Drosophila melanogaster: one gene and its partners. The protein of the gene in region 1 purifies or fractionates together with the protein of each later gene. This does not show direct contact. Each region holds a gene or a part of one and is shown on either strand. Other genes may lie near its edges.

Region 1 (10,937 bases):
TATATATACACTGACGACTGAGGCAGTCGAATTAAAATTCCTACATGATTTCCGAGGGTTCGCTGCTGTTTTTGGAGCAGACCAGCGACAAGTGTTCCACGGCAGTCGAAAACGTAGGGGGCAGCTCTATAAATAGGATTTGTCAAAAACCACCGAGTCCAAGTCCGAGTGGATACCACATACATATACATAGCTAGCTAGATCATCATGATGGTGGGGCTGCTAATGAAGATGCTTTCCCCATGGCCATGAGTGGTCCGAGCGGAAGCTGAATGACCATGGGGCAGCACATAGATCCATCTTCCAATTTCTCTGTATATCTATTGTACTTTAATTAAAAGAAGACATCTCACACAAAAATACATACATATGTATGTTCGATCCGCCTTGAGATATATCGCATATTGACGACATACAGCTGATCGCGCCCGTTTGGTCGATGATGAAAGCGTTGGTGCTATTTTGCTTGTTCCTCTTTTCCATCCTCTAGTTTTCTACATTTTTTTTTTTTTTTGTTCAATATATAGGAATATTTTTGTTTTTCCTATGCGTTTGCTGCTTCTATTTCGTGTATATATAAAATAACAACGTTAAAAATAAGTCCGTCCAAACGAAATGAAACCAGTGGCCAGAACCGAAATTATTGAACAACATTTTCTCCCGATTATGATTGTTGTTGTTGCACGAAGTGTGTGCCAGTGTGTGTGCGGGTGTGCCGATTTCCCTGTGTTGGTGTGCTGCAAACCGAACAGAAATCAGTTTCTCACTTCTAGAGCACACCATAAATGTCCGCGTCACTTTTGGTTGTTGTTGCTCTCCTTGCTCACATAGCCAGTCTATATGGGTGAACCCAAGGCAACAGAAACAACAAAGTCAACTGGCAAATATCCTTAAGCAATCCTTATAATTAAGTTCCATACTTCAGTTTCATAAGTACATTACTTATAATTTAATATCATAATACGCTTTATAGACCGACATTTGTACCATGATATCTTCCATTGATAATCGTCTCATTATCAAAACTTTTGGTATACAGCTTGTTTTGGTCCACCCCAATCTACTTTAGACTTTCGAAACTGCGAACATATATGCGGATTGCCGTCGAATCCGCCTTATCTTGGCCACCGCGCTCCGTTCTTGAATATTTCTGTTCGCCCTGGAGGCGTACAGTGCGGCAGACAGAGACTAGGCAGATATATAACAACCGACCTATAGAATCGAGAAACAATACTCGATGGAGCGCATATCCGAAAGTATTTCGGTCTGGCCAGTGGACAGAGATATATGCGGATTTCGCACAGAATATTTGGGTCTGCCATATACGAATTGCCACTTGTCTGACCGCCGATGATGATTGCAGCAGGCAGCACGTGAATGACTAAATTTTAAGTTTATGGGGCTGGGTTGGTATGGTGAAAATGTTTGCGCTGAAATACGATAGGATTTGCCCGATATGTTGCCCATGGAAAATTCCATCTCCAGGCAATCTCCAGCTCCCCATGTGTGTGTGTGTATCCATTGTGGGCACCTAAAAATAAACCTCGCCTGCACTCCGAACCCTAACAAATGGGAAATCTTTGCTTTTCCCCATTAACACAAATTAATGCATTCCAGAAATCACAATCTAAATCGAAATGGTGTGTTTATATGCGTTCGCCTGACCCGATTTCAAACCATTGAAATGAATTGGAGTTGGGTTGGAGGAACAGCCAAGTGGCAGATGAGTTTGCGGCAGCTGGACAGTGGTCAATACTGGAGCTGCTAATGCGCTTAACAAATCACCGGCCATCATCGATTGTGTTGATTAGGCCTATTAAGGGATTGTGGCTAACCCTTTCCCATTCACGATCCGAACCCCTCTCTCTGTGTGTGTTTGTGTGCCCCTGCGAAAATCCAATAAATGCCGAAATGCATGTGGCAAACTAATTTGAAATTAATTCACACAGAAATCAAGGGATATATTCAGCCACTCCCGCAATTGCCCAGCCACTTTGATCAACTCTGTCAATTGCCAAATTGGCAACTTAATAAAAATTCCATCGAAATTCATGAGAATCCCAAGCATTTTTAGTCAGCCAGCCAAAATGAGGGTGGTCCCTGGTCCTCGGGCGACTTTTCCCAGCCGCACAGTCAACCAGCAGTATATCCTTTATCCTTCGTAGCTCCGCAGCCATGTGGCCCCTTGTTACCTTGGCTTTGGGCGAAACCCCCTTTCATCCTCGTCGTCATCGTCTGTGTGCATTCCGCTTGAGCTGTCAAATGCGCATCGCGACTGTATCCCTCCCGAATCCGAATCGGAATCCCAATCCCAGTCCCAGTCCCAAGCCGAGTTCCCAATCCTCATTCTGCGTCGTGGTGGCCACTTTTTGTCACCCATCCTTTGCCGGCTCAATTGCAATTTGTTTTCGTTGATTCCCAGCCTTCGACCTCAGCCCGCTGTTTGTTTAGGATGGGTGTGGGGTTTGTGGATGTCCTGGTGTGGGTGCTACATTTTCGGCATTGGATAATTCACAAATGAATCCCTTTAGTGTCGGCAATTGGCGCACGTGTGCTAAAACAACAAGGTGAAATCGCTGCCAGGATACGTGATCATTATTAAAATTCCTTGGACCAGCCACTACTGGTGACATCCGGCCCTCCTATTTATCCAACGCTCCAGCGACTGCACATCTCGCTTGGCTTTATTAAATTTTGATTTAGCCATTTATATAATCTATTTGCAATTGGCTTTATTTTCGTTACTCCAACGGCCAACGACCAACTTTGGCTTTGCCATTTGACTGCCGATGCCTTGAGGGTCCTTCGGTGGGTTGGTGCGGTGGTTGCTGGGTTAAATTGCCACATAGTGATTTACTTTTCACATACTTTTAATTAACTCTGCATTAACAGTCGAGCTGTTTCACGCGATTAAAATAAAAAAAGGCCCTGGTTATTTTACCTCTGATACGAGTCTCTTTTGATGAGAAACTTTTCGTGCTTACCCTCATTTTTTAAGGCAGTCCAAAAAACAAACAGGGAATTATTTCACAGCCGCTGAGGATAATGTGAAGGTATAAAAGAAATAAATTATGCCGATTGCTAATTTTTATTAAAAAAAAAAACATTTTAAATGATAAGCTCACTCGTGTCCTTTAGATTTTAATTAAAGAAGTTTTTTGAAAAAACGTGGGATTTTAAACATTTTGAAGATTCAAAATGAAAACATGCTGTTAAGTAGAATCATACCTTAAATAATTTATGCTCATCTTATTTAAACCTAATAAATATTTAATACTTAAATGTATTTTCCGGAATAAAAAATAATTAGAAAATTAGAAAAAAAATATTATTGAAAAATATAGAAAATATACAATTGTTGTAGGCATATCACTAAAAACTATTATTTTTATACTTATTATTAAAGTTATTATATTATATTATTATTATTATTATTATACCTATTAAAAAGCAATTATTATAAATTTGCAATAAGTATTATAGTAATCAGTAAGGCGACAATCATAAAATAAAAATATGCCCTACTTGTCTCTCTGGCAACTCTGGAGGAATACCTTGCTTGTTGTCATTTGATCTATATTTAGAACCGTCTAAAATTAGTTCGAAAATAATCCTATTCGAACTAGACCGATTCTTTTGATAGATTAATTTTTGCAATTTAGGTTAAGGGATTAGTCATTCTTCCTCGGGAAGCTGGAACTCAACCTTATTGGTGTTATGTATCCAAAGATACATATATGTACGTGCGAAAATACACGTTTTATAGAATGAATATGCATGGGGCCCCAAATCTAATTTAGCGACATCCATTTGTTTTTCCATGTAGTATAGCAACCGAACCGCGCCACAAATACATACATCTGTATCCAAGTATTTGAATACAGCGAGAATTGGGTAAAATGTGTGGAGGAGGAGAGTGTGGAGGATCCACAGCAACGATTGGCCTCACCGGATTGTGCCATAAAACGTAAACATGCCCCACTTAGTTGCAGCCCAAAAATAGATTGCACCGAACCCAATTTAAATGGGTACCCTGCAAAGCCGGCATGTAACGGTTAAGCTCCCCCCTCCCATCCCCCTTACTAACATCTTACAGCCCGATTTGTAAATAAACAATTAGTTGAATATAATGCTCATTGCACGAGGGGCGTAGACATGGGCGTGGGCGTGGATCTTGGGCGAGAGCGCAATGAGAAATATGACCAAAATTAGAAACGAAAGGCATGAAGGTGCAAAGGCTGGGAAATGATAGAGATGCGATTTGACTAAGGCTGTGCGTTTGTGTGTGTGTACATATCGAAAATAGAAAATGAATTTATTACGACATGAGAAAAACACGAAAGTTATGAAAACAACGAGCCGTACGAGAAAATAGAAGCCAGCAACAAAGCGAATATATCCACCCACCCAATCCCCCACCGTAACGAACCGACCCAAAAAGTATCCAAACCGAACCGAAACATATAGCAAATATAGCAGATATAGCAGATATAGCCGATATGGCCGATATAGTGGGAGAACAGGAGAGAGAGAGAGAGCGACTCGCTGAGAATGAGCAAACGAGTGTGAGTGTGCTGGAGGCGCCTCCTTGCCTTATACGGCACTTTTTGAGACTGCAAACGATCGTGAGCAGGCAGCCGATCGTGCCCGATCCCAACCGATACGATCTCCACGCTCGATCACGCCGAACTATACTGCGCTATATGCTATATGGTATTCCTATACGTATAGCATGCCATACCATATTGTGCCTCTCGCTCGTTCGCCTTATGTTTTCCAAAGAGCCCCCTATGCTGAAGGATCTATTTTTAGGCGGATCGGCCGGTGGGCAGCATTATCGCATCCATGAGCATATTTCCTCGCTGTGTGTATTCGTTTGAGTATTTCTTTTGCCATTGGTATGGGGGCGTGGCGGGGGCGGTGGCGGCGGGGGGCATGGCGACGGCGCTTCTTGGACGAGATGGCATTTCGGCGGCGGTATAAAATCCGAGTACCAACGCGGCGATACTTTAGTCAGTCAGTTGTGTTCCAAGCCGTACACACCGTAACTCTTGATTTAATTCACCCGTGGTGCCGTAAAAAAAACAAAACTAAAACAAAATGTGTGACGATGAAGTTGCTGCTCTGGTCGTTGACAATGGTGCGTATTCCCCATCGAACGGATTATCGTCTTGGCTTTTGCTAAAAGAGAAAAAAAAGAAAGAGAAATAGACAAAGGACCCAACAGCGAAAGGATATTCCCGCATCTAGTGCTAAAGTGATCGCAAAGTGAACGATTTTCGAGTTGTGATTAACTCACGCATCCTTCGGGACACAAGCAATTAGAAATTTGAATATAACAAAAAAAATATTCCAATGCCTTGGATGATTTCGAGAAATATATATTTTAAATATTAGTTATTGAGCAATATTTTCAATTCAAGTCAAAGAATCATAAATATTCAGATAAAGAAAAGCTAAAATATTATATTTTGCACAGAATCAAAACCGATTTGCATAAGTTTTATAAAGATTTTTTGTGCCCGAATCACTTTCATAAGTTTTGATGCTTGAAAGCTTTTCAAGAGATCATGATATTAGAGAAGAGGAATATTTCAGAAATCATATATCTTCAGATATTTCTCTATACGAGAGAAGAAGACAGATCACATATTTTCATGAGAGAATTTTTCTCTCCGCCCCAAACTTTTCCAGTTTTTTCGACTTAGTCGCCAGACTTTTTCACGCTGTCCGTTAGAGCAAATGTTAGACTCCCAGTGTGGGAAACCCCACATGAAGCACTCGAGCGCCCACTAATGGACCCCTGTTCGATTGTGTTATCCTGCAGGCTCCGGCATGTGCAAGGCCGGTTTCGCCGGTGATGACGCTCCCCGTGCCGTCTTCCCCTCCATCGTCGGTCGTCCACGCCACCAGGGTGTGATGGTCGGTATGGGCCAGAAGGACTCGTACGTCGGTGATGAGGCCCAGTCCAAGCGTGGTATCCTCACCCTGAAATACCCCATCGAGCACGGTATCATCACCAACTGGGATGATATGGAGAAGATCTGGCACCACACCTTCTACAACGAGCTGCGTGTTGCCCCCGAGGAGCACCCCGTCCTGCTGACTGAGGCCCCCCTGAACCCCAAGGCTAACCGCGAGAAGATGACCCAGATCATGTTTGAGACCTTCAACTCGCCCGCCATGTACGTCGCCATCCAGGCCGTGCTCTCCCTGTACGCCTCCGGTCGTACCACCGGTATCGTTCTGGACTCCGGTGATGGTGTCTCCCACACCGTCCCCATCTATGAGGGTTATGCTCTGCCCCATGCCATCCTCCGTCTGGATCTGGCTGGTCGCGATTTGACCGACTACCTGATGAAGATCCTGACCGAGCGCGGCTACTCTTTCACCACCACCGCTGAGCGTGAAATTGTCCGTGACATCAAGGAGAAGTTGTGCTATGTTGCCCTGGACTTCGAGCAGGAGATGGCCACCGCCGCCGCCTCCACCTCCCTGGAGAAGTCGTACGAGCTTCCCGACGGACAGGTGATCACCATCGGCAACGAGCGTTTCCGTTGCCCCGAGTCCCTGTTCCAGCCTTCCTTCCTGGGAATGGAATCCTGCGGCATCCACGAGACCGTCTACAACTCCATCATGAAGTGCGATGTGGATATCCGTAAGGACCTGTACGCCAACATCGTCATGTCCGGTGGCACCACCATGTACCCCGGTATTGCCGATCGTATGCAGAAGGAGATCACCTCCCTGGCCCCATCCACCATCAAGATCAAGATCATTGCTCCCCCAGAGCGCAAATACTCCGTCTGGATCGGTGGCTCCATCCTGGCCTCTCTGTCCACCTTCCAGCAGATGTGGATCTCCAAGGAGGAGTACGACGAGTCCGGCCCTGGCATCGTCCACCGCAAGTGCTTCTAAGCAGTTGCAGTTGCCTAGCACCAACACTAGCACCACCCGGTCTACTCACCTGTCTCCTGCTCATCTGGTCCTGCTATTTGTGGTGGTTCTGGGTGTGTGGGCGGCTGGTGCTCCACCGGCAAAAACAACAAACACCACCACCATCCAACCATTTGTTTTTGAATGTCATTATTTACCAACGTGTCATCCTTGGTTCGAGAATACTCTTTTGTACTGACTGAACACAACACCATCAATCAAAATGAATTGTCAATCTAATGCCACGGACCGCGATCCCCATCCACTTGTTAATCGCTCGCGGTTTCCTTAAATGTTGATCGCCATTTGATTGTTTTACGAATGAACCGACACCCTCATGTATTTTGTACAGAACCTAACAACTTCCCCGATAGAGCGGATGGGGTCTATTGACTACGAAATGTAAAATAATCTCATGATTGTAATATTAATTAAAACAATTTATAATTATTTATAAATAAAAACGATTTTTTAGATTTAATTTTTTCTAAAAACATAGAGATTTTGGAAAAAATTGGGGGGGGGCATCTAGCCGGGAAAGCAAATCCTAGCCGAAGCTTTCCATCGATCAGTAGTTCAAGATACATACAATATATATGTACATTTATGGATCTATGTGTGATGTGTGAGCTTTTTTCACCTCCAGACGCGACGGTGCGTTTCAAATTTCCCGAATACCATACCGTAAAGCTTTCTATTCCCAAAATATTTCTGGTTTCGAAACGATTTTCGAATATTTTTAGACGCATTCCAAAATGGGTGAGGCGGCGGACAGGCGAGCGATTTTTTGTTTGTTTATGCCATGAGGAAATACGATCGGAGATGACGCAAGTCGGATGGATGATCAAAGGCGGCGGCCAAAACAAATTGCCAATGTCAATTTGTTGCCGCTCTCGGCAAACTGATTACCAGAAATGCATTTCACTTTGAGGAATAATGGATGGAATATATACATATATAGTGTATGGTGGCAATGCCAGAGACAAATGTTCTCGCCGAGATTGCCAAGACAATTAGTCAAAATGGCGTTGGGCCGTTTAATTAGAACTCGATGTGCATTATGAATGAAATTTGTATTCGCGGTCGTGTCGCCTGTTGCAATTTCAGTTGCAGCCACATACAAATGGGTAATTAATGGGCCCAAATCGCTGGCACTTGGCCAAAAAGGGGCGACAGATGCCGCTAATGAGTTGCACGACGAGATGGGCAAAAATGGGCGCAACTTGCCCGTTCGGAATTCACTTTCTCAAGCGAATCACTTTACGCCGCGCTGCACAACAACAAACAGGATTGGGAATCAGAAATCGGGAAACAGAAATCCCAAATCCGAAATCAGGAAACAAATGCCGGAATGAGAAGTTACCAACCCTCGACTTAAACGGGCTTAACCCACTAATCAATTTGCACAAAAACAAAAATAAACACGTACACAATATCGTCGACGTCGTCGTCATAATGCAATATTCAGTTCTTAATTTCCATACAAATTCGATTTAAAATTCATAATAAAGAGCGCAAATATTTCGAATCGAGTAAGGCACATACATAAGTAAGTACCTCCACGCCCATTTACGATTGCGACTTGAAGTATGCCGCACAAAACGACCCATATGGTCAATTATATATAGCTGCTCCGATTGCCAACCAACAACAATGAGGGCATCCAGTTCTTCAAGGCGCTTCCATTTCCCCCGATTCGGAATCGCACTCGAATCCTTATCCATACTAAGAGTACCATATATGGAGACATCGCACACACCCCAGAGCACACACATTGTTTTCACTTCAATTACTATCGATGAAGCTGCAAAGCGACCAAAAATCCATATACTCGTATAATGCAATCAAAACTTGTGCTCAGCGAAGCGGAAAGTGTTGGAAGCTCTGAGACTCGAAAAGCGTTTCTTGAAAAGCGAGTCCTGATCCCGATTCGCTATGTGCACGGAAAGAAAATAAATATTAAAATATGGAAAAATATTTGGTTACAACAATAATGTATATTATTTACAACTTTGTAATTGTACTTAAAATAAATGCAAAACAATTGGATTTAAACATTTTTTAAACAATTTATATGGTATTCTGCTTACCTAAAAGTATGCAACAGTTATTTGAGAGACTTTCTCCAAGAAATATAGAAATATGAACACAACTCTTAGTTTTATTCCAATTAATTTAGCCCTCAAAGGCCAACGGAAATGATTTAAAATCAAGCAAGTCAATTTCATTTGATTGATTTAAATTTTGGCCAATCCCTCTGCCATTTGCAAAACCCCTTTTCGCCCGCTTGACTGACTGAAAAAATATATAAATCGCGAGGATAATGAAAAGCGTCACATTTGATTGCATTTTTTGTGTGAAATTGGGCTGACAATGTTCGCTTTTGCTGACCAAATAAAAATAAACGATAAAGACGCGGAGCAAAGCCGGCTCACAGCCCACTCACACACAGACACAAAGGGGTGATGGTGATGCATTCACACACACACACACACGCGCACACACACACACATGGGCAAGGACATTTATTGGGGGGTGATTGCCGTTTACGAACAGGCAAAAGGGTGCAGCCCATTGGAACTCGGGAACACGGGAACACCAAGAGCAAGAGCAAAAGCAACAGAAACAGGACCTTTGGCTGAGGAAGCCAGGACCTCGACGAGGCCGTGTAAACGTGTTAGGGCAGAACAAAAAACGCAAAACAAAAAAATGTGCACTTTACGCAATTTATGTGCAAATTTTTCAATGACTTTAAAGCGATGCAGGAGGGCTGATTGAAAATGGGGGATGGACCGGCCAGTGAATATAATCGCTCGCTAATTGACTCTAATAGACCTGGTTCCATCTGGGGTATGCTGGTTATCCTGCTGACCTCCGCCAAAACCCAAGTGCATACGACCGGCGTGCAGGAGGATTACCTTTTCGAAATGAATGGCAACGAAACGAAGTAGTATTATCTCAAGTACTTTGCCCGTTTCAGAAGCGTTGGCTCAGCGAGATCTTTGGCTTAAGAAACACTTTAGCACGCAGCGCGTATTATGTGTGAAAAGTAGCCATTAGAAAATTGCCCACAAATTAGCACAAATAAGGCGAGCATTTAGCAAATTTGAATAAGCTGCCGCATTCGAAAACCCCTCGAATTGCACACACATATTCACGCTGCTTATCCCCTCGACCTTTCACCTTTTCACATGTGCTAAGCCCGCTCACACACACGCACATGCACACACATGCTCACACGTGAGTCCTGGTAATTATGCGCCTGATTTAACTCTACTTTCCACTGCACAAATGACAGTTTCACACTGCCTTATTGTTCGACGTGGCCTTTCTCTCCTAGATATTTCTCTGTTATTTCAAGTGCCGCGCACTTGAATTCTCGGTCATGTCCTTGAAACTGCTCATGCAGAAAGCGGCAAAAAAATAAAACCAAAATCCTCGACAGGACGAAGCTGAAAAAAAAAAAATGGCTCCGCTCATCGAAATATGAGTTCATGAATGTGGACGGCGATTCAAACAAAGGACCTACGCGCCTCCAAGCCACGCCTCATTTTTTTTATATATATATTTATTTTCGTGCCAAATGCTGAGGAAATGGCCGAGGAAATTCGCATTTATTATAATCGCAAGGAAATGCGAAGAGTGCAAAGAAAATTGCTGCCAATTTCCCGCCGCAGAATGCTAGAATCGAAGATGAAATTAATTTTCACGAGCGCGCAAGGAGAGCCGAGTGCTGCTGCTCAAACTTTGCAATTTGCGGCGCGTTTCCGTTTCCGGTGGATTTAGCGTGAAAGAGGCTCCTTCGGCAGACAGGAGACGAGACAGAAGATGCCGGATGGAATACACTGATGACTGAATGACTGGTGGGCTTGTGCTGGAGCTGTAGCCAGAGCTCCAATTGTCATCCATTCCGTTTGATGTGTCGCACAATTTTATTTCCATTTTGCCATCCACTCGCCTTTTTTTCCCGTTGCCCGAAACGATTAGCAGCCACTTAGAGC
Region 2 (10,772 bases), on another chromosome or scaffold:
GGTCCAGATCTCGTCCAGCTTCTCCAGATCGCCATCCTGGCCCAGGACCTGGATGGACTCGTCAAAGACCCTTATGATTCTGCCGGCATGTGCTCGGAAGCGAGCATTTCCCTGAAAGAAAACAGATCAAGTTAATCTTGAGTTAATTGAAGACCTATGTGTAAGGTACAACTCACACTTAGCTCCTCCAAAGGAACATCGCGGAAGGGGAACTTCTCCAAGTTGGACGGAAAGCGGTTGAAAAACTGCGTCAGTATCGCCGCTCCAGAATCTGTTGGTGTTGCCACGGGGATTTCCCAGGTCTTCTTGATCAGTTGCACCTCATCGCTGTTCATGTTTATGCTCCGTTTTGGTTCTTCTCAGCTTTCACTCTATAGCTCTCTATAAGCGTTCGGCCCTCTCTTAATGGCTTTTAGGCTGAAAGTGAGTGAGGGAGAAAATGGAATTAAGTCCATTTACTTCGGTCTCTTTTTGGCGCTCTAATTGAAATTGACAGTTTTACAATGCAACTCAACGAGCCCGGCACAAGCAAAATCAAAATCAAAACAACAAACAGTGCCTTAGATAAATAAGCGCACAGCACGTGCTAAAAGTCAATGCCTTCGCCGCCAAACAACAGAAGCAAAATAACATCATTATCATCATTGTATCCGAGCTCAAATTAACGTCTGTCAGTTAAGCCGCAGCAAAAAGCCCAGCAAACCTACCTTCCCACACCTCAACCCTCATTCTATACAATTTTCAACATACCCTTGTTTTTAGAGATGGTAACGTGATAATAAAAAGCTGATGATATTAATTATAATTTGTACAAATTTAAATTGATATCTGTATGAAATATGATTAAAACTTAATGTAGAGCTGAGTATTTTCAAGATCTTTTCTATTGGTTTAAAGTCCCTAAAGTTTAGTCCTTTGTCTGCATACCATTATTAAAGTTGCACATGATATGGTGAAATTTCTTTATCTTTTATGTTAATAACTTGTTTCCTTAACCGCATATCTGTTTATATAATAGTTGCCCATCTCCAGTCTGCTTGGCCTGCTCTCGAGTTCATTAGCTGACCCTACCCCCGCCCTCGACCAGCACCGAGTTGACCCCCAATCCACCGAGCTTTGTGGCTGGCTCTCGGCTGCGAAAATTATCATACCCCCTGTGTTCCACGGAGAGCTGAGGAAAATGAGAAAGCTATTGCGAATGGGAGATTGCGGGAGAATTCTCTGGGCGAAAGGCGGAAATGTAAACAGCAAGAGCTCACAGAAATTGCGATATAATATGCAGACCACAATAAAAATGGCGAGACATCAAATCAAATGGAATTCCACAAAAAAATTAAATATTTTTCGAATTGCTAAACGAATTAAGTGAGAGGAAAAAAAATTTCCATGCAAACCGCACATGAAAAATAAATAATTAGAAAAGCACTACAAAATTCTCATGTAAACAACGGAATTTGATGAACAATAAATAAAGTATTTAGAGTTCTTTTCTTGACTTTTCCACTTTATCCGAATGACAAAAACTTTTTACCACAGGGAAAAGCAGCAAAAACAGCAGTCAAGCCAAAGGAAAGTTATGTCTAAAAAGTAAATACAAAATACAAAACTTTATTAAAAATGCACAAAGTGACAGACAGACAAACGGAATAGACATGGTAACAGGGGAAATAGGAAAAGGGAAAGAGAAAAGGAAAATAAAACAGGGAAATCGACTCAAGTGCAGCCGCAGCAGGTGGCCGCCATGTTATTGTTGCTTTTTGCTGGAAAATGTGGGTGCGATGTGGCAGGAGGTAGGTGGGTGGTGGGTGGTGGGTGGTTGGCGGCGCAGGCAGTGCAGATTCCACTATAAAAAATTTGCCATCTCTCAGTAACCTTGTCTACAAGACCCCTTTGGGGAGCAAACCAACACCAACACCAGCACCAACACACTACATATGCCAGGATGTGCGCGTCTGTGTACGTTCTATAATATCCTTCATGCCAAAATGGCCTGTGGCTTTTGCGGTTCAAGTCTGTGCCTGTAAGTGTATAAGTGCTGGCCACTGCTGTGCGAGTGTATGTGTGTGTAGTCGCGCGAGCTTGTGAGTGTGAGTGTCTGCTGCAGTCAAGAGTGAAAAAAGGCAGCAACAAATCAAGCGTTACCTTGTGGTTCAGCACTCGGAGAAAATTTATCCTCCATAAGATTAGTTTTCATTCTCAAAAACATATTCTTTCAATCGTTTTCATGGAAGTTCAAACGTTGATTGGTGATTTAACGGTGATTGGTGTTAAGCCCTTCTTTTAACACTTAGCTTGATCGAATTAAGTAATTAATTTTTCTCTGTGTTATCTGCCATTGAGAGTGCGAGTGTGAGAGTGTTGCCAGTAAGGACATTGAGCGCTTAATTAAATTAAGGCAAGCTTGATGGACAGCTACTAGACAGTCAGCCGTGTGCAGCAGCTCCTGGGGGCGTTGGGCGGTGGGTGGAGGGCGGATCAGGTGGAACAGATGGGGTAGGCGTGGCAGGCAGGCAGGCAGGCTGGCTGGCAGGTCAGGTGTTGGCAAAGTGCCTCCTACAGGAGGACTGTGTTTGTGCGAGTGTACGTGAATATTTGTTTTGTGATGCTGCCACTCAAGTGTCGCTATGGATTTGGTTGCAATTCTGTTCCTGTCTCTTTTTTTCCCCGGCATGTGAATTTATTTTATAGAACTCAAAAACAACATTCTGTCGTTTGGCAAGTGCCAGATGTGAAGTGTTGTGAACTCTCGAAACACGAGCTGGTTTTTTTTTACAATTTTAAAACAATTTCAAAGGACTTTCAAAGTATGGGGCTTGAAGAAAGAATATTTGGATAAATTGGTTTCTGGCAAATATCAGACTCCATAAAATGTTTCTGGGTTTTAATAACCAAAGCCGTGTTCAAATTAATTATTTTTTATGGGTCTTATAAATAAGTAAATCATTTAATTTTAATTTTAAAGACGCATGTATGGGTAAGTACTATGGATAAGAACTGTGTATTTGATAACAATGACGAAGCTTTAGTAATCGGATAATAAAAAGAGGGTAAACAAATGTAAATTACGATGATTGCTACATATGATGCTTTCGCTGATTTAATTAAATGAATTCCCAACTCTTTTGAGCCTCTGAAATTGTCTCTTAAAGCCACAATGCCTGACTTAAACACACACAGCCACTTAAAACACACAGATGCACACTCATGTCCTCATCACGGGCATTAAGGATAATGACTGCCACAACAACAGAAACAACAAATGGTAATCACAAAAAAACAACAATAACAATCTGGTTCTGCCAGAGGCGACACTTGTTTTGCAAGGACACCACAGAAATCCATAAATTCCAAGCCCGCTGCTTTGCGGCTCTTTTATTTCTTATGGCTCTGAAATGCAGGAATTCAACGAACCCGAAAAATCCGAGATTTAAATATCCAATGTAGGAAACACACAGAATGGGCGTTTAATCAGCTGTTGGTTGCCTGCCTGTTGAGCGCCGTCGATGGGGAAGATAGCGCGTATTTACAGTTCCGTTAGTCGTGCGCTCTTATTCACCGAATTCTTTCATAATTCTGCAAGGCTTTCACTATGGTATAAATTTCTCCTACCAACGTATTATTTTCACATATATATTTCCCGGATTTCCCAGTTTTGATTACTACTTTTTTAATTGGCGCACTTGATTGGTTTTTGTGCCGTGGAAAACCAAATACCGGACCGTTCAGTGCGAACTTTCGGGGCTACAAAGAACCGCACACTTTGCGTTCAGGTTGAAAACTGAGCGCGGGCAAATTGTGGGGCCTTTTATGGGAGCGAACTCACCAGATTCGCACTCTCTGCCGGCAAAGATTCGCTAGAGAGAGCCCGCCAAAACCAAAACGCTGTGGAGCAAAAGCTGCCCATGCAGGAGAGTGAGAGTTTGGACAGAGGCGTAGTTCAACGGGGGCTTTGAGGTGTGTCATTTGCCCAAAACAATTGATATTCCGATCAGGCGTAGAGCCCACTTATGGACACTCCCCCGATTTGCTGTCACATTTCATAACAAATTCAAAATGGGACGACACCTGTCGAACCAACACGCCCAAATCAAACATTTTCCAGTGACACCTGTGGACCTTCCGACGTTTTAAAGGAGCGTAGTCAAAGTGCTGGCCCCAAAACAAAGCTATCTCTTAAAAGCTTGGGCTTAGAACAGGAAAAGCTTACTTAACCGTTGGGCAGTGGCTTTCTTCAAATGCGCAATGTAATCTAAGCTTTAGGAGCTATAAACAAATATTTGTTGTCGTGATGTCTAAGCTATCTTCAAATATAATTATGTAATTAATCCAGCAAAACAAATGAAAGCACATTTTGTATTAGAAATGAAAAAATTCAAAGATTTTTAAAACTAGTTAGGTCGACTCTTAATATTTCGATGTTTAAGATTCGCAATATGACAAATCTTTTCAAACACTCCATTCAGTTGTTTTGTTTATTTGTTTATTCTTTACTTCAACAATAATCTTCTATTTGTTCTTATCAATATATCACATGCACAAGTGAAAGATTTAGCCTTATCGTGGCGCTGTACTATTTTTATAAATGTTTATTCACTATCACTACCTTAATAAGCCTCCATCAGTAATTTTCAATAAACCAAGTGGCGGACAAACAAACAAGCACTGCCAATTTATACCCAACAAAATGCGTTGCATTCAAATATCACACCGCACACGGATTGTTTATTTTGCTACTATATGAACGGGAATTGTAAGCAACGTCGATTTACGAATGCAATCACTCTACTATAAATATTTGCATAAATATGGATGGGATAGAACACTATTTTCCAATTCACACTCACAGTTTATATCAAATGCCAGGCAACTGCACACGACGCCGTTAATATTTGAACTGAATAGAATTTCTAGCCCGACTGGCCTTTATAAAAGACTTCCGAGCGGCAACAACAACTGACACAAAATAAACGCAGCAAACGAAGCTACAAAAGTTTCCGAGCTGATAATCTTCGTACACTATCATCCAGAGAGGTCAACTTGGGTGAAAGTATACGTATGGGTCTTTCATTTCGTAAGATTTGGTAAATATTGTCTGAGACTGCTTGTCACAACATTAGAACGAAGCGAATCAATAAAACGCGCGCTCCGAATTTTGAAGCTTCGGAGTTTTAGGAGTCAGGAGATTAAAAGAAGCAGCAAAATCCAGTTTTCGGCTAGACTACAAGACATAATTACTTTAAGTATAAAGAACTAACCTTGATAATCAAATTTACCTATACCTAAGCTTAAAAAAGGCAAACATTGTATTCGAAAATATTAGATGATTGTAACAAAGCAAACAATTCGCTTCACTGTGAAGAATAAATCAAATGCTAATCCAAAACATAATGTATCAAATTACAATATTTGTAAAGCTCTCCTTTAGTACACTAAATTCTTCTACCAGGTGGATCCAATCCAAAAGCAAACTGCAAACAAATAACACCTTTCGTGACGAGCTATTTGTTTTCCCGTGCCTTGAATAATTATTGATCAAGGTTAATTTAAATATAGCATGATGGATATCTTGGTATTAGATTGTGAAAGTTAATGTCGTTTTCGTCATTCCATCTTTGGCGACAATGTATTTAATTTTATTTACGTTTTAAAGACTATTTTCAACTAATTGTAGGAACTGCAGTCCAGACAATATAAGAGTAAAATCTTGTTGATATTAAAAAAAAATCAAGCCCTAAGAAAATTTCGCACTGCAATTATAGGTGTTCAATTATACAATATTTTGTTCACAATTTATTGTCAATTTTTTTTCAAATCACGTCACAGTTTCCTGTTGAAGTTTTTTTTGTTAAACACAGTATGGTTTAAGCCCAATTTGGAAGTAATTATATTACAGTCGAGACTTTAATACAAATGACGCTATATTCGCTGAAACAAACAAATTAGTAAGTGCGTGATTAAATTATTTGTTTAGTACTTCCAGATGAGAGAGGCGTAGTTCAACGGGGGCTTTGAGGTGTGTCATTTGCCCAAAACAATTGATATTCCGATCAGGCGTAGAGCCCACTTATGGACACTCCCCCGATTTGCTGTCACATTTCATAACAAATTCAAAATGGGACGACACCTGTCGAACCAACACGCCCAAATCAAACATTTTCCAGTGACACCTGTGGACCTTCCGACGTTTTAAAGGAGCGTAGTCAAAGTGCTGGCCCCAAAACAAAGCTATCTCTTAAAAGCTTGGGCTTAGAACAGGAAAAGCTTACTTAACCGTTGGGCAGTGGCTTTCTTCAAATGCGCAATGTAATCTAAGCTTTAGGAGCTATAAACAAATATTTGTTGTCGTGATGTCTAAGCTATCTTCAAATATAATTATGTAATTAATCCAGCAAAACAAATGAAAGCACATTTTGTATTAGAAATGAAAAAATTCAAAGATTTTTAAAACTAGTTAGGTCGACTCTTAATATTTCGATGTTTAAGATTCGCAATATGACAAATCTTTTCAAACACTCCATTCAGTTGTTTTGTTTATTTGTTTATTCTTTACTTCAACAATAATCTTCTATTTGTTCTTATCAATATATCACATGCACAAGTGAAAGATTTAGCCTTATCGTGGCGCTGTACTATTTTTATAAATGTTTATTCACTATCACTACCTTAATAAGCCTCCATCAGTAATTTTCAATAAACCAAGTGGCGGACAAACAAACAAGCACTGCCAATTTATACCCAACAAAATGCGTTGCATTCAAATATCACACCGCACACGGATTGTTTATTTTGCTACTATATGAACGGGAATTGTAAGCAACGTCGATTTACGAATGCAATCACTCTACTATAAATATTTGCATAAATATGGATGGGATAGAACACTATTTTCCAATTCACACTCACAGTTTATATCAAATGCCAGGCAACTGCACACGACGCCGTTAATATTTGAACTGAATAGAATTTCTAGCCCGACTGGCCTTTATAAAAGACTTCCGAGCGGCAACAACAACTGACACAAAATAAACGCAGCAAACGAAGCTACAAAAGTTTCCGAGCTGATAATCTTCGTACACTATCATCCAGAGAGGTCAACTTGGGTGAAAGTATACGTATGGGTCTTTCATTTCGTAAGATTTGGTAAATATTGTCTGAGACTGCTTGTCACAACATTAGAACGAAGCGAATCAATAAAACGCGCGCTCCGAATTTTGAAGCTTCGGAGTTTTAGGAGTCAGGAGATTAAAAGAAGCAGCAAAATCCAGTTTTCGGCTAGACTACAAGACATAATTACTTTAAGTATAAAGAACTAACCTTGATAATCAAATTTACCTATACCTAAGCTTAAAAAAGGCAAACATTGTATTCGAAAATATTAGATGATTGTAACAAAGCAAACAATTCGCTTCACTGTGAAGAATAAATCAAATGCTAATCCAAAACATAATGTATCAAATTACAATATTTGTAAAGCTCTCCTTTAGTACACTAAATTCTTCTACCAGGTGGATCCAATCCAAAAGCAAACTGCAAACAAATAACACCTTTCGTGACGAGCTATTTGTTTTCCCGTGCCTTGAATAATTATTGATCAAGGTTAATTTAAATATAGCATGATGGATATCTTGGTATTAGATTGTGAAAGTTAATGTCGTTTTCGTCATTCCATCTTTGGCGACAATGTATTTAATTTTATTTACGTTTTAAAGACTATTTTCAACTAATTGTAGGAACTGCAGTCCAGACAATATAAGAGTAAAATCTTGTTGATATTAAAAAAAAATCAAGCCCTAAGAAAATTTCGCACTGCAATTATAGGTGTTCAATTATACAATATTTTGTTCACAATTTATTGTCAATTTTTTTTCAAATCACGTCACAGTTTCCTGTTGAAGTTTTTTTTGTTAAACACAGTATGGTTTAAGCCCAATTTGGAAGTAATTATATTACAGTCGAGACTTTAATACAAATGACGCTATATTCGCTGAAACAAACAAATTAGTAAGTGCGTGATTAAATTATTTGTTTAGTACTTCCAGATGAGAGATTCAAGACACGATGTTAGTAATTAAAAGAGACTTTGGATGAAATTCCTTAAGTACCAAAAATTAGTAGGCTTGCCACGTGCCATATGTTCCCACAAAAATATGAATTGAATTTTAAATATCTATAGGTACTAGAAGTATTGTGGAAAAGAATAATTGGTTTCATTCATGCACGTTTAAAGACTGATTCAATTGTAAACCTTTTTATAAAATGAATTAAAATATAAATGATTATCCAAGGTAAAACAGAATATTAGTTTTTCAGTTACATTTTATTTATATTCGTTTGGCTTAGCTTTATTTCTTTAGGAAACTAATTGTTTTCCTACTTTGACTGGCCGCATAAATTATACCATATGCTGCACATTGTCATTTATGTCCTCAAACTTGAAATTTGGCATGGGGGCCCAACGAATCCGCTCCTGAGTAAACAAAAGGCTGCTCGCGAGGTGAAAACAAACCACAACAATGATCCCCCAGAGAGCGCCGAAAACGAAAATAATTGGAGAGGGAGAGCGTGTTATCCAATTTTTCGGGGGAACTACTTGTGTGTTCAGCAAGCATATGAGCGGCCAGATCCGCAGTGTGGCAAACCCGCTCAGTATCGTTTCAGCCATAAAGGTAGTTGGTCGGAAAGAGCAGATAAAACTCGATCAACGCGAGAGTTTTGGCTGAAGATAAACGGCGAGCATCGGGAAAGTAAACAGAGGCGCAAAAACAAATGTTTGACTAATCTTAATTGGATAATTATATCACAATGGACGCAGTGCAGCAGCAAACAAACAGCACTAGCAACATCGACAGCGCCAAATGCCAGAAGCTAAAGAGATTTGTGATCGTAGGCTTGCTGATCACCATTGGCATTTTGAGCTGGCACTTCTACGGTGAGTTGTCTCTTTAAGCTCTCTTCCGTAAGCGAACGGACAACGGTTTTTTCTCTTAGAGTACTTCCACAGCAAGCCGCTGCCCAAAACGCCGGATGACGTCTTGACCCTCTCGAAGAATCTGTACGCGGAGGAGACCGAGGTCAGTCCATACCTCTACAAGGTGAATCTCCAGGGGAAGACCACTTCAGGTGCTCATGACGATCGCGCCCCTAGAAAGTAAGTACCTAGTTGCGCCGCCTAATGAATTTTATCATTAAAATATTTAATTTGATGATAAGGCAATTTAATTAAAATAATTATTAATTCATTAAATACTAAAGCTGTCTAATAAACATTATTTCATATTTCTTGAAATTCATTTCGTGAATTCATTTCGTAAGATTTGGTAAATATTGTCTGAGACTGCTTGTCACAACATTAGAACTGAGCTAATCAATAAAACGCGCGCTCCGAATTTTGAAGCTTCGGAGTTTTAGGAGTCAGGAGATTAAAAGAAGCAGCAAAATCCAGTTTTCGGCTAGACTACAAGACATAATTACTTTAAGTATAAAGAACTAACCTTGATAATCAAATTTACCTATACCTAAGCTTAAAAAAGGCAAACATTGTATTCGAAAATATTAGATGATTGTAACAAAGCAAACAATTCGCTTCACTGTGAAGAATAAATCAAATGCTAATCCAAAACATAATGTATCAAATTACAATATTTGTAAAGCTCTCCTTTAGTACACTGAATTCTTCTACCAGGTGGATCCAATCCAAAAGCAAACTGAAAACAAATTACACCTTTCGTGACGAGCTATTTGTTTTCCCGTGCCTTGAATATATTGATATATTGATATATTGATCAAGGTTAATTTAAATATAGCATGATGGATATCTTGGTATTAGATTGTGAAAGTTAATGTGGTTTTCGTCATTCCATCTTTGGCGACAATGTATTTAATTGTATTTACGTTTTAAAGACTATTTTCAACTAATTGTAGGAACTGCAGTCCAGACAATATAAGAGTAAAATCTTGTTGATATTAAAAAAAAATCAAGCCCTAAGAAAATTTCGCACTGCAATTATAGGTGTTCAATTATACAATATTTTGTTCACAATTTATTGTCAATTTTTTTTTCAAATCACGTCACAGTTTCCTGTTGAAGTTTTTTTTGTTAAACACAGTATGGTTTAAGCCCAATTTGGAAGTAATTATATTACAGTCGAGACTTTAATACAAATGACGCTATATTCGCTGAAACAAACAAATTAGTAAGTGCGTGATTAAATTATTTGTTTAGTACTTCCAGATGAGAGATTCAAGACACGATGTTAGTAATTAAAAGAGACTTTGGATGAAATTCCTTAAGTACCAAAAATTAGTAGGCTTGCCACGTGCCATATGTTCCCACAAAAATATGAATTGAATTTTAAATATCTATAGATACTAGAAGTATTGTGGAAAAGAATAATTGGTTTCATTCATGCACGTTTAAAGACTGATTCAATTGTAAACCTTTTTATAAAATGAATTAAAATATAAATGATTATCCAAGGTAAAACAGAATATTAGTTTTTCAGTTACATTTTATTTATATTCGTTTGGCTTAGCTTTATTTCTTTAGGAAACTAATTGTTTTCCTACTTTGACTGGCCGCATAAATTATACCATATGCTGCACATTGTCATTTATGTCCTCAAACTTGAAATTTGGCATGGGGGCCCAACGAATCCGCTCCTGAGTAAACAAAAGGCTGCTCGCGAGGTGAAAACAAACCACAACAATGATCCCCCAGAGAGCGCCGAAAACGAAAATAATTGGAGAGGGAGAGCGTGTTATCCAATTTTTCG
Region 3 (11,034 bases), on another chromosome or scaffold:
TGGTTTCTTTACGGACTTTACCTTAAGTTGCTCTGGGCGCTGGATTGTTTTTAATTTAATACTGCTGCTGCTGCTAACCCTTCATCAAATGTTTGACCGTGCCCAACTGTAAAGAAAATGAAGGGGGAACAATTAGTTTAATTCTGTTTAATCAGCTTCATGCGAACGCAATCAGTCAATTACTTAATTGTTGGGTCATTCGTAAAGTGGAAAAAACAAAATCATGAAACTGAATGGCTGACTATCGTACTACAAGCTTTACTCTCCTCAACGTTGATTTTATATTTCATTCTTATTTCGTAATATTTTAGTAGTTTAATGAATCTAATTTTATTTTTAAAGAGTAATATGCAAATACCTCCTTCTGTAAACTATTTTAACTTTTTGACTGGCTTGGCAACAATCGTAGAATTCTCATATGGAATTTCCACTTGCTTGTCGACTGTTGCTCAGGTCGATGATCACATCGATCGACAACCTCGTCCCCTTATGGTGGCCTCAGTGTTCGCACACACTAACCAAACTAAAAGCGCGAATGTGACGCATTCTCGCGCTGATTAGGTTCCATCAGCTAACGCTATCTTATCGGGTACATAGCGTGGACCCCGTTTCCATTCCATTTCCAGCAGACACATACAAAAAGGGAACACTTTATTCGAAACATAAACGTTAAATGACATAACCAACAGTTTTAAACTTAAAAGTTATCCAGATCCCGCGATAAGTCGGCCAGCATCTCCATGAAGAGATGCGACTTGGCCTCGTCTTCGGGACTATCGCCAGAGGCGTAATGGGCTTCGGAATCCTTTCCGGACAGAGAGAGTTGCTGCAGAAGTTCGGAAAGCATGCACCACACTTTCGGCGACCAGTTCTCGGCAAAGAGCGGCATGAAGAGTTCGTTGAGATGATCGGCCCGTATAGCTCCAGACTGTAGCATGGATCTAAGGATCGTCTCCAGCATCCGAAAGCTGTCCGCACTGTTTGCCATCTCCTGCACAAAACTAATGCTGATCAAGCCGTCAAAGATTCCGGGTGAAGCTTTACTGTCCATAAGCTGCTGTGATCGCCACACCGAACAGCTGGCTGAAATTATATCCTTGTCGAGGAAATTCGGTTTTCTGGTAATGAGCAACTGAAGCAAATGAACTAATCCAGACCCAATGAGGTGATAGAAAACAGTGGGCATTTTAGGCAACAGGACCGCCTTTTGGGCTTTTCGAAGCAGCTCGGCCAGATCTTCTTGACTGCCCACATATTCTGGCCGCAAGCTGAGGCAGTGCAACCACTGCTGGAGCTGATAGAGAAACTCCGACAGGCTGAATCCAATATCCGGACTGAGCTGGAGCTCACTGGAGCCGCCGCCACCTGCAGCTGCTGCATCTGCCTTGTTCCTATTGCAGTTGCACACTTTGGTGGCTAACTCCTGAAGGTCGCCATGATAAAATGTGGACTGAAGCACGCTCGACTGGAGCCACTGTTGCAGCTGAGTCTGGGCTTGCACCCGGATTAAATGAGCATATGTAGACCGCAATACCGCATTGGTGCTGGAGGGCAGAAGGCCATCCAAGGAGTGCTCTATGCGCCTGTCCAGCATTTGGTGCACATGCTCCTTCCAACGCTGACACGCATTCTCCCTGGCATCTTGAAAGATCTCATGCAGCTCCTGAAACACCTCCTCGAGCATCGTGGATTTAATTTCGTTGACTTTGGCATCCGCGGAGGCCTTCGACGGGAGCAGAATCTCCTGCTGGGCGTCCTTAACGACACACTTAAAAGTGCGCTCCGTGACGAACTCGATCAACCTCCTGGTGGACGCGTTTTGGGATTGGAGATAGGCATCGACCAATTTGCGCTGCTGCTGCTCCGCGGGACTCAGTTCGCTTGCCACTATCGCGTCCTTGGAAATGGAACTGCTGTTCTGCTGCAACTGCTCCAACCGAGTGGTTATGTACCGGAACCGCCCACTTTTCGCTTGCCTAGAGGGCGTGATGCTCACCCGGAATTCCTGCAGGAAAGGGCAAGCCACGGGCAGAAGTTCGTCCAACAAGGGGGCGTGCGATTTATCGTGACACGAGAGGTCCTTTAGGCAGATATCCACAATTGCCGAAATGCTTCCGACTCCGGCTTCCTGTGCCCTGTAATTGTAGTAGCCATTAACCAACTGCGGCTGTGCATCCAAAAGCCATCCAATGCAGCTCCTGGCTATGAACACAGCTGCTGGTTGCAATTTTGCCATACGTATGTCGGCATACAATCCGTACAGCAGCTCCAAAGTGGCCACTGCGTCCGGAAGGTGCAGGCTGACCAAGTCGAGCATCGCCAGGTATTGAACTAACCACGGAAGCGTAATCAGCAGCTTGCCCTGGCGCATGGAACGTTCGAGTATCTCGCGGAGATTGAAGTCCGGACGAAAATGGTTACGAAGCTGCAACTGCTGTGGACAAAGATATGGCGGCGTTGGGTTTCCATGTTGCGTGGTGCCGCTAAAGGGCATCACAGTTACGTAGCCCAAGAACTTGGCCAGGATAAGCATGTTAGCCATGGTCTGGACGCGAACAATGTATGGTCCCTGCTGAGCGGACTGCTCCTCGACAGCCACATCGTCAGTTAGCTGGAGCAGATCAAAGGTGGAGTCGTTGTTACGCATTAGTTGCACAAAGAGCTCCAGCTTCAGGTGCACCAGAAATGCTACCGATGAGCATACGGCGATAAAGTCGCGGAAGAAGGCCTGAGAGCGAGGAAACTGACCTTCCACACTGGAACTGGATGTCACCAAGCGCTGTGCCAGCTTATTGTGCCTGAGGGGATCCAGCTTTAAGCCCAGTTCTTCGGGAGATTCGGTGGTCTCGGTAGCGGAGATCAATAATTGGTTGACAAATAATTTTGCCAGGTGCGTCATGTTAACTGGGTGCTCCGATTTCTTATAGATATCCATAATACGCGGCCCCAGTTCGCTGGGAAAGTTGAAACCCCGATTCAGATGGCTCACCTCCCAACGCTTAAGGGCTTTGTAAAAGAGGTCCCTTTGGGACTTGAAGGCCCCGAACTCATTCTGCGAAGGAAAGTTATCCCGCGAGTCGTTCTCCACGTGATAGTATACATTCTGCTGGGAGGACGAAGAGGTGTCCATAGCGAAGGGTGTGGTCGAATCCTGCCTCCGCTGACAGTGAGTTTCCAATTCTTGGACAACTCCTTGCGGCAGCAGGCTCAATCTCTCGTTTTGTAGCAAGACACTCAAAGTCCGTTTGTCAAGCTGCAGAAGTAACTTTTTCTGATTCTCCAGCAGTTTTGCGGCAAAGTATACACAACTTTTGTGCTGGGTGAGTCCCTCCAAAGCACTGGGTACATACGATTTGACGGGTGATTGGCCAAAATCTCGCACATTTAGCAGATGGACCACAAAACTAAGTTCACGTAGTACGTTGGGCACCAAATTGAGGTCCATTAACAGGCTGTAAATGGTTGATAGGAGCTGCAAGTGATTGGCATTAGCCACACCCTCCAAGCTAATGGCTTCCTCAGGGAAAACCTCATCTTCGGGTGTCCTCTCCTGTTGACTAACATTCACAGGCGCTTCGCTTTTGATTTCCTGCTTTTTGAGCAACAGGAACTTGCGGGCCTCCATTTCCAGGGCTGCTTCTTGGCTTCTATCGAAGATTTCGCTGCTCTGCGAGATTCGCCAAAAGTTATTTTCATTGCTAAAGGAACTGGTGTCTCCGAAAGAGGAGCTGGCCGAAACATTCTTGCTAATGGTCATGGGTAAGACACGTCGCCGCGGCTTGGATTGTGGCGTGGCTCCAGCTCCAGTTCCTGAACCCAATGATGCATGTTGATTTTGCTGCTGTTTTTGGGGCGTGATCTTCTTCTTAGATCGCTGATGGCTCTGGATAGGTGTATTGACCAGAAAGTTGCCCAAGCAGATGCTGTGCCCTCCTCCTGCTCCCCCACCGCCGCTTCTGTTAGGCGTGCTGCAAAACTGGGCGCCACTTCCTGGCGTTGATCTTCTGCCCTGCGGCTGCTGGGGAGCCGGAGTAGTATTCGAAGTGGAGGACATACTGCAGCTGCTCCGGCTAAGGATCGAGGACTCATTGAGCTGCTGCTGTTCCTCCTCCTTGACCACATCGGCGACCGGCGGCTTGAGCTGATGGATGGGGGTCAAGGGAAACACGGGTGTCTCCGAGTTTTGCGAATAGTAGTACCTCTTTGTGCTTTGACGCAGTGCACCTAAAAAGTAGGTGGCGAAGTCCTCTAGTGTGCAGTTACTCTGGTTATCACCCTTGCCAACCTTTTTAAAATAGGCGACGAACTTTTGCTCCAGCTGGTGGTGCGGCACCTTCTCCAGTTGCGCAAGCAGCTGCAGCAGATGCCTCTCTTCCGGCTTCGTCATTTCTGTATCTGACGCTTTGAGCTCTGCAGTCATGTTCCGGTGATCTATTTTCTGTGCCTTAGCTCGAGCTATTTTCAACCTTTGGCCCTCCTCCAATCCCTCTCTCCCTTTTGTTTCCCTGCAACGGAAGAGGAGAGAAGGGAAATGTTGGCTCGGCTTTTGTGGGTTTCGTTTTCTAAGTTATTTTTAGAGTTGTTTGGATGGGTTGAAGTTGCAGGATTTTCTTTTTTTTCTGTATAAACAATATGTTTTCACACAATAAACTAAATCAACGTAAACGACACGTAAAATGCTACGAGTTGTGATGACTTCATCACCTGTACTAAAAGTTGTAATAAGGTTATAGTTAGGCGGGAAATTATGAGGAATATATTTGTAGGTCAGGTTTGGAAAAACGCACATGTATGCTAAACAAATTTGTAAAGGTATTAACCTTAACAATAAAAGAATAGTAGGTTTCTAAAAGTATCTAAATATTGCATCAACAATTTTTTGTTGTTAAAGTATAAATATTTTCTATGAATTCTTATAAGATATCATTTATTTTAATTTCCAAACTTAGTTGATAGCCCATAAAATCACATTTCTAATAGTTTCCAATTTTTAGTGCTAAAAAAAAAAAAAAAACAACTCAGATAAGAAAAGCAGAGAAATATCTGAAATTCTCAGCTACACTACACAGAAGGTAAAATAGTTAAGATTGGCCAAGAATGATTAATAGAGAAAAGCCAAGGAGTGAATTTTTGTCAATAGAGTAACATGAAATACAATTAGCACTAACGATAAGGAAATCCGTGGAATGTCCGGATTTTAATACTTAATACTTCAAAATCGCCCCTTTAGAAGGGGTCAGCAGAGCAAGCAATGACATCATTTAGGGGAGAGGGTGGGTCAGCATGCAGAGAAACAAACAAACAACACTCTTTGCCACAGGAAATTGAAATAAATCAGAGGGAGATGGCAACAGCCCAGGGCTTGGCAGCCATACAATGTTGGAGCTCACATACAAACACACAGGCAGGCCAATTTAACTGTTTATCGCGGTGGCAAACAAAAACAACATCAGAAACGGCAATTGCGAGAGATCGCACCTCAAAAAGAGAGCGAATAGAAAGAGACGGAGAGAGCGAAACATTAATTGAAGTGTCTATCAGAAAATAGCAGAGGATGACGTAATGCGTACGCTTTGGAATTATGAGCAATCAATGAAGAGGCACAAAAAATCAACTGGTACGCAAGACTACTACGAACACGGAATCGCCTGGCAAGCAAACAAAAATATCCTATGCAAACACAGGCCTTCAAGAAAGTCAAGGACACTTGCCCACCCAAAACTTTGGCATATGTAAGGCAAGCACTTTGCTTTTTTTTTATTCGTACTTAAATATCTTGGAAACACAAACAAGCAAAGAGAGGGAGAGTGTGCTCTCCCGCTTTCTCTCATCTGAAGTTGCCGCACCACCACCACCACCCGATGACGTACACACACACAGCGTTCTCTACTCCTGCGTAACCGCACACACACATGCACAACAGGAGCACCAGATACTTTTTCTTAAGTTGCAATTGGAGTCAAGAATTTTGAAAGAAATTCAAAATTTCTATTACTAATCAAGCAGTGACATTGCACAGCATAGCTTTTCAGTTATGGCCAAGACTTTTCTCTCACTTTAGCCCCGTTAATTGGATTTTTGTGTTGCCTTCGAGGGTGTGGCGTTGACCCGAAAAATTTTCACTTTGCACGCACACCGAATTTCAATTGCATTTTGAACCCAACTAACAGTGAGCTACGGACGAAAACTATGTAGAAACTTACACTTTGATGGCAATCTATTTGTTCACAGTTACTTTGTTAATTTAACTATTGATTTGCAGTAGTTATTCGTAATTTTCACGGAGCGCCTCTATTTCACGGGACCGCAGTTTTTTTCAATATGTCGGCCGATTGGCGCAGAACATTGACATCAATATCGCGATTTCTATCGATGTCAATCGATTATAAACATAGTTCTCTTTCTGGTCGCTTTGGCGCCTTAGTCATCTCATTATTTTTCTAGTAGATGTAGATGAGTAGTAGTAGATGATGTAAATAAATTAAAAACGACAGGGTATTTCAATTCAATCTGGTGCACTCATGCATGACTACTATTTCCTAGCGCGGCCCCAGAGTAAGCGGGGCTTATTATGGTATTATTCCGCAATAGCCCTGCGGTCACACTAATTTCCAGAGCAATCCAAAAAAAGGAAGCAGCCGAAAAAGAACAAAAACCTGCAGCATTTACATTCAAATATAAATCCGAAGCAAAGAAACAGCAAAATGGTGGACTACAGCAAGTGGAAGAACATCGAGGTGAGCCCACTGCTGGGTGCCAACCCAAAAAGTCCTCCTAATCGGCACACTACCTTTTAGATTTCGGATGATGAGGACGACACTCACCCAAACATAGACACGCCTTCTCTGTTCCGCTGGCGGCACCAGGCGCGCGTGGAGCGCATGGCGGAGATGGACCACGAGAAGGACGAGCTTAAGAAAAAGCGCCAGAGCTACCAGGCGCGCCTCATGGACGTCAAGGAGCGGATCTCAAAGAAGGATGGCGACGAGGAGGCCCTGAAGGTGGGTCATTGCACCGAATGCACTGCGCACTTGTTGCTTAGGCTAATGCCTGGTCTGGGAGTTCCCTATGTTCTCAATCCATCTAATTTATTCTTATTGTCAAGCTTATGATTGACTATCATCCTAAGTGGCCATCCATCTTTCATCGCAATGCTTAATCCCTAATTTGTATCGCCTACAGAAAGAGCTCGAAAAGATCGAGGCCGAGGGCAAAGAGCTGGACCGCATCGAGAGCGAGATGATTAAGAAGGAAAAGAAAACACCCTGGAACGTGGACACCATCAGCAAGCCCGGCTTTGAGAAGACCGTAATCAACAAGAAGGCCGGCCGCAAGCCGGATGAGAATCTGTCCGAGGAAGAGCGAGAGCAGCGCATGAAGCAATTCGTCAAGGAGAACGAGAAGCTCTGCCAGCAGTATGGCATGCTGCGCAAGTACGACGATTCGAAGCGGTTTCTGCAGGAGCATCTTCACTTGGTGGGCGAGGAGACGGCCAACTACCTAGTCATTTGGTCCATCAACCTGGAAATGGAGGAGAAGCACGAGCTGATGGCCCACGTGGCGCATCAGTGCATTTGCATGCAGTACATTCTAGAGTTGGCCAAACAGCTGGACGTGGATCCTCGCGCCTGTGTCAGCTCCTTCTTCTCAAAGATCCAGCACTGTCATCCCGAGTACCGCGCGCAGTTCGACAGCGAGATCGAAGGTTTCAAAGGACGTATCCAGAAGCGTGCGCAGGAGAAGATCCAGGAGGCGATAGCCCAGGCCGAAGAGGAGGAGCGCAAGGAGCGCCTCGGACCTGGTGGTCTGGACCCAGCCGATGTCTTTGAATCCCTGCCCGATGTACGTTCTAGTGATTCACTGTATGGGAATTACTTGACTAACTTTTCATGTATTTGCTCCGCAGGAACTAAAGGCCTGTTTCGAGTCCCGCGACGTAGAGCTGCTGCAGAAGACCATTGCGGCCATGCCCGTGGACGTCGCCAAGCTGCACATGAAGCGTTGTGTGGACTCTGGTCTCTGGGTGCCCAATGCCGCTGACTTGGAGGGTGACAAGAAGGAGGAAGATGACTCGGATGACGTCGCCGGTGGCGAGGAGAAGACCGACGATGCCAAATCAGAGAGTGCAGCCAAGGAGGAGCCCATCTACACTGGCGTCAGCACCGAGGACGTTGACTGATCGCCGCCACGTTTCCATCTACACCATAGCTCTAATCTTAATGTATTTGTCCACAAGCATATTTCATCCATAGCCAGATCCTGCGTCAGTTGAGTTATTGTATATAATTTGAATAAATTCTCAGTCACACGTCAAACATTCTGTGAACACTTCTGCCAGTTGTTATACGCTTCGACTCCGAATAGAAACAATGAACCGGCCGGAGCTGGACTACTACGCGGTGCTGGATCAGCCCAGAGGCGCCACCAAGGAGCAGATTACTCTGGCCTACCGCCGCCTGGCCATTCGGCTTTGCCCACATCGCGACAAGAAGGACGAGCAGGACTTTGTGCCGCTGGCCCAGGAGGGTCGTCTCACGCACCTCTCACCCATGGGCGAGCCCAGGCAGTGGGCCTACGTCAACATGGCCTTCGATGTGCTGGGCAACGATCTGTACCGGGCCATATACGATCGCTTTGGCGAGGCGGGTTTGTTCGAGGGCGTCATGCTGCCGAACGGATACTTTCCGCCCTATCAGTACGACGGCGACCACATGAAGGTCTACGAGCGGGTCTTCGGTAGCTACTCGCCGTATGCCAACGTGATCGATGCGATCTCCAATCCACCGAGCTTGTACGCTACGCGCCAGCATGGCATTGGCGTGCGTTCCAAGGACGCCAGTACGGAGAGGATCATCGAGCTGTCGCTGGAGGAAGTACGCACTGGCTGCGTCAAGCTGATGAACGTGTGGCGCCAGGAGATCGTGGACGCCAAGGAGTCGCGGCTGGAGAAGCGCAAGCACACCTTAAAGCTGAACATTGCCCCGGGAACTACGGCCGGAACTCGCTTCTGCTTCAAGGAGGAGGGCGATCGCTATCCGGCCACCATTCCGGGTGATATTATTTTCATTGCCGCCGACAAGCCGCATCCGGACTTTGAGAGGAGAAACCAACACGACCTGGTCTACAGGCAGTCTATTGGCCTGTGCCAGGCCTTCACCGGCTTCACGTTCTTCATTTGCACGCTGGACCGGCGCCAGTTGAAGGTGGTCATTACGGACGTAGTGCAGCCGGGATACACCAAAGTGGTTCCCCTCGAGGGACTCCCCAAGTGCCGCAATTTGGATGCAGTTACGGCCATCAAGGAGGCCAACAAGAAGGTGGAGCAGTTCGGGGATCTCATTATAGAATTTGATTGTGGGTTTTCCTTTTCTGTTGGAGGTTTCAATAGTTTCTGATAGTTTCTCTGTTTCTTCTGCAGATATCTTTCCCAAGTACTTGACTCCACATATGAAGCATATCACTCGCGAATTCTTCCGCGAATTCCGCAAGCTCGAAATAGAATTGGAGGAGGAGGAGGAACGTAACATGGTTTGATGGCAGACACCTTATTGTTTTTCCGTATTTGGAACACAGATATTTGTGCGTACAGAGAAATTAAATTCAAAATTTGCGTTTAAAAGGATAGATGTTGTTGGGTTATTTCGTATAGCCATATTACATACGAGCACATGCAGACTATATTCAAAAATCTTAGATTTAATTAAATTAGCAGATGTAACGGTCGAATTTGAATTGATTTTGAAAAGGTGGCAACTGTTCCGATTATGTCGATTGCTTATCGATGCACAACGCAGCCGCTCGGCAACCCTGTCCATCAGCTGTTTGTGAAAAGAAAATGCATTTGGCATTCCATTTCAGAGATAATTAAAAATCAATTACAGCAGCAGCAGCAGAGCAAGTGGCCACCGAAAAGAGTGCATAGGAGAGGGTAAACAACTCGCTGCATCCAAACGGCACAGTAACTGATCCGAAGCTGTCCCACTTAGAGCCCAAATCGAATTACCCGTTTTGCAGTTTAGGACAAAGTGTGCCAACGCCACAACGCCCCCACCCAGAAGTCCATAGAAACGCCAGCGGAAGTGGGATAGAGACGGGGACCACGCTCCACTGACCGCACCGCGCACCGCTCGCTGACCACGCCCACTGACGCAAGATGCACCTCAGCGCGGATATTTCCAGCGCCCTTCAGCAGATCGAGGCAGTGAAGAAGGGCATCGATGAGTCCGACGACCCCAAGCTGCAAATGCAGACGGCCGAGAGCCTTAGCACCATTCTGGGCATTCTGCAGGATCCCGTTTTCCGCACCATCGTCCACGTGCAGGACTCGTTGTCCGAGCTGAACGCCCAGCTGGCTCAGCATCCGTCCATGTTGCCCAACGACTTCGACATCGATGTGGCCGGCAACCTTGTACTCAGTCTGAATGGTGGCGAGGTGATGTACGACTTTGACGAACAGCGCTCTTCCTCGCACTCCCATTCGGCTCCGGGCAGTCCAGATAAGTCCGGAGGCGTCGGCGAGGAGCCGCGCCCGCAGAGCCAGAACTCCAAAGGAGCCGGAGTGGCGGATCTCTACGCCACGGACTACGCTCAGATCCAGGCCATAGAGCTGGTCAACGACGGCACGGGTCTCGGATTCGGTATTATTGGAGCTCGCAACTCGGGAGTGATTGTAAAAACCATCCTGCCGGGTGGCGTGGCCGATAAGGACGGACGCTTGCGCTCGGGCGACCACATCCTCCAGATTGGAGACGTCAACCTGCACGAAATGGTATCCGAACAGGTGGCTGCCGTGCTGAGACAGTCTGGAACCCACGTCCGCCTAGTGGTTGCCCGTCCCGTTGAGCAGAGCGTGCCTACGCCCCAGTACGCCCTGGAACCGGGCACTGCTGTGGTGCCCACGCGCGTCCTCGTCGATCCTGCCGAGCTGGAGCGGTACCTCATATCTACCGGCTATCCGGAAATCTTTGGCGAGAGCTCCACGGCCTCCACTCCGCAGACCACCACGGAAGACGATCGTTTCGTTTATCGCGGCGA

What was found.
Region 2: the proteins of Act57B (region 1) and glob1 purify together in Drosophila melanogaster (affinity purification with western blotting; one study listed by BioGRID). This does not show direct contact.
Region 3: the proteins of Act57B (region 1) and alpha-Spec purify together in Drosophila melanogaster (affinity purification with western blotting, with the first as the bait; one study listed by BioGRID). This does not show direct contact.

Annotation. Positions count from the first base shown.
Region 1 is NT_033778.4:20,939,017-20,949,953, forward strand, and holds Act57B (actin 57B), read left to right. Parts: upstream 1-5,004; 5' UTR 5,005-5,100; coding exon 5,101-5,140; intron 5,141-5,827; coding exon 5,828-6,918; 3' UTR 6,919-7,415; downstream 7,416-10,937. UniProt on the Drosophila melanogaster protein: Actins are highly conserved proteins that are involved in various types of cell motility and are ubiquitously expressed in all eukaryotic cells.
Region 2 is NT_033777.3:15,897,599-15,908,370, forward strand, and holds the start of glob1 (globin 1), read right to left. Parts: upstream 7,046-10,772; 5' UTR 6,904-7,045; intron 4,987-6,903; exon of another isoform or gene 4,845-4,986; intron 4,786-4,844; exon of another isoform or gene 4,604-4,785; intron 3,785-4,603; exon of another isoform or gene 3,412-3,784; intron 418-3,411; 5' UTR 336-417; coding exon 177-335; coding exon of another isoform or gene 132-176; exon of another isoform or gene 112-131; coding exon 1-111.
Region 3 is NT_037436.4:1,788,996-1,800,029, forward strand, and holds the start of alpha-Spec (alpha spectrin), read right to left. Parts: upstream 6,334-11,034; 5' UTR 6,204-6,333; intron 4,506-6,203; exon of another isoform or gene 4,421-4,505; coding exon of another isoform or gene 698-4,420; exon of another isoform or gene 636-697; intron 107-635; 5' UTR 22-106; intron 1-21. Other genes in the region: dlt (discs lost), read right to left, coding at 698-4,420; Cdc37 (cell division cycle 37), read left to right, coding at 6,705-6,737, 6,798-7,001, 7,183-7,842, 7,907-8,179; CG12020 (uncharacterized protein), read left to right, coding at 8,370-9,354, 9,419-9,534; patj, read left to right, coding at 10,154-11,034. UniProt on the Drosophila melanogaster protein: Spectrin is the major constituent of the cytoskeletal network underlying the erythrocyte plasma membrane. It associates with band 4.1 and actin to form the cytoskeletal superstructure of the erythrocyte plasma membrane.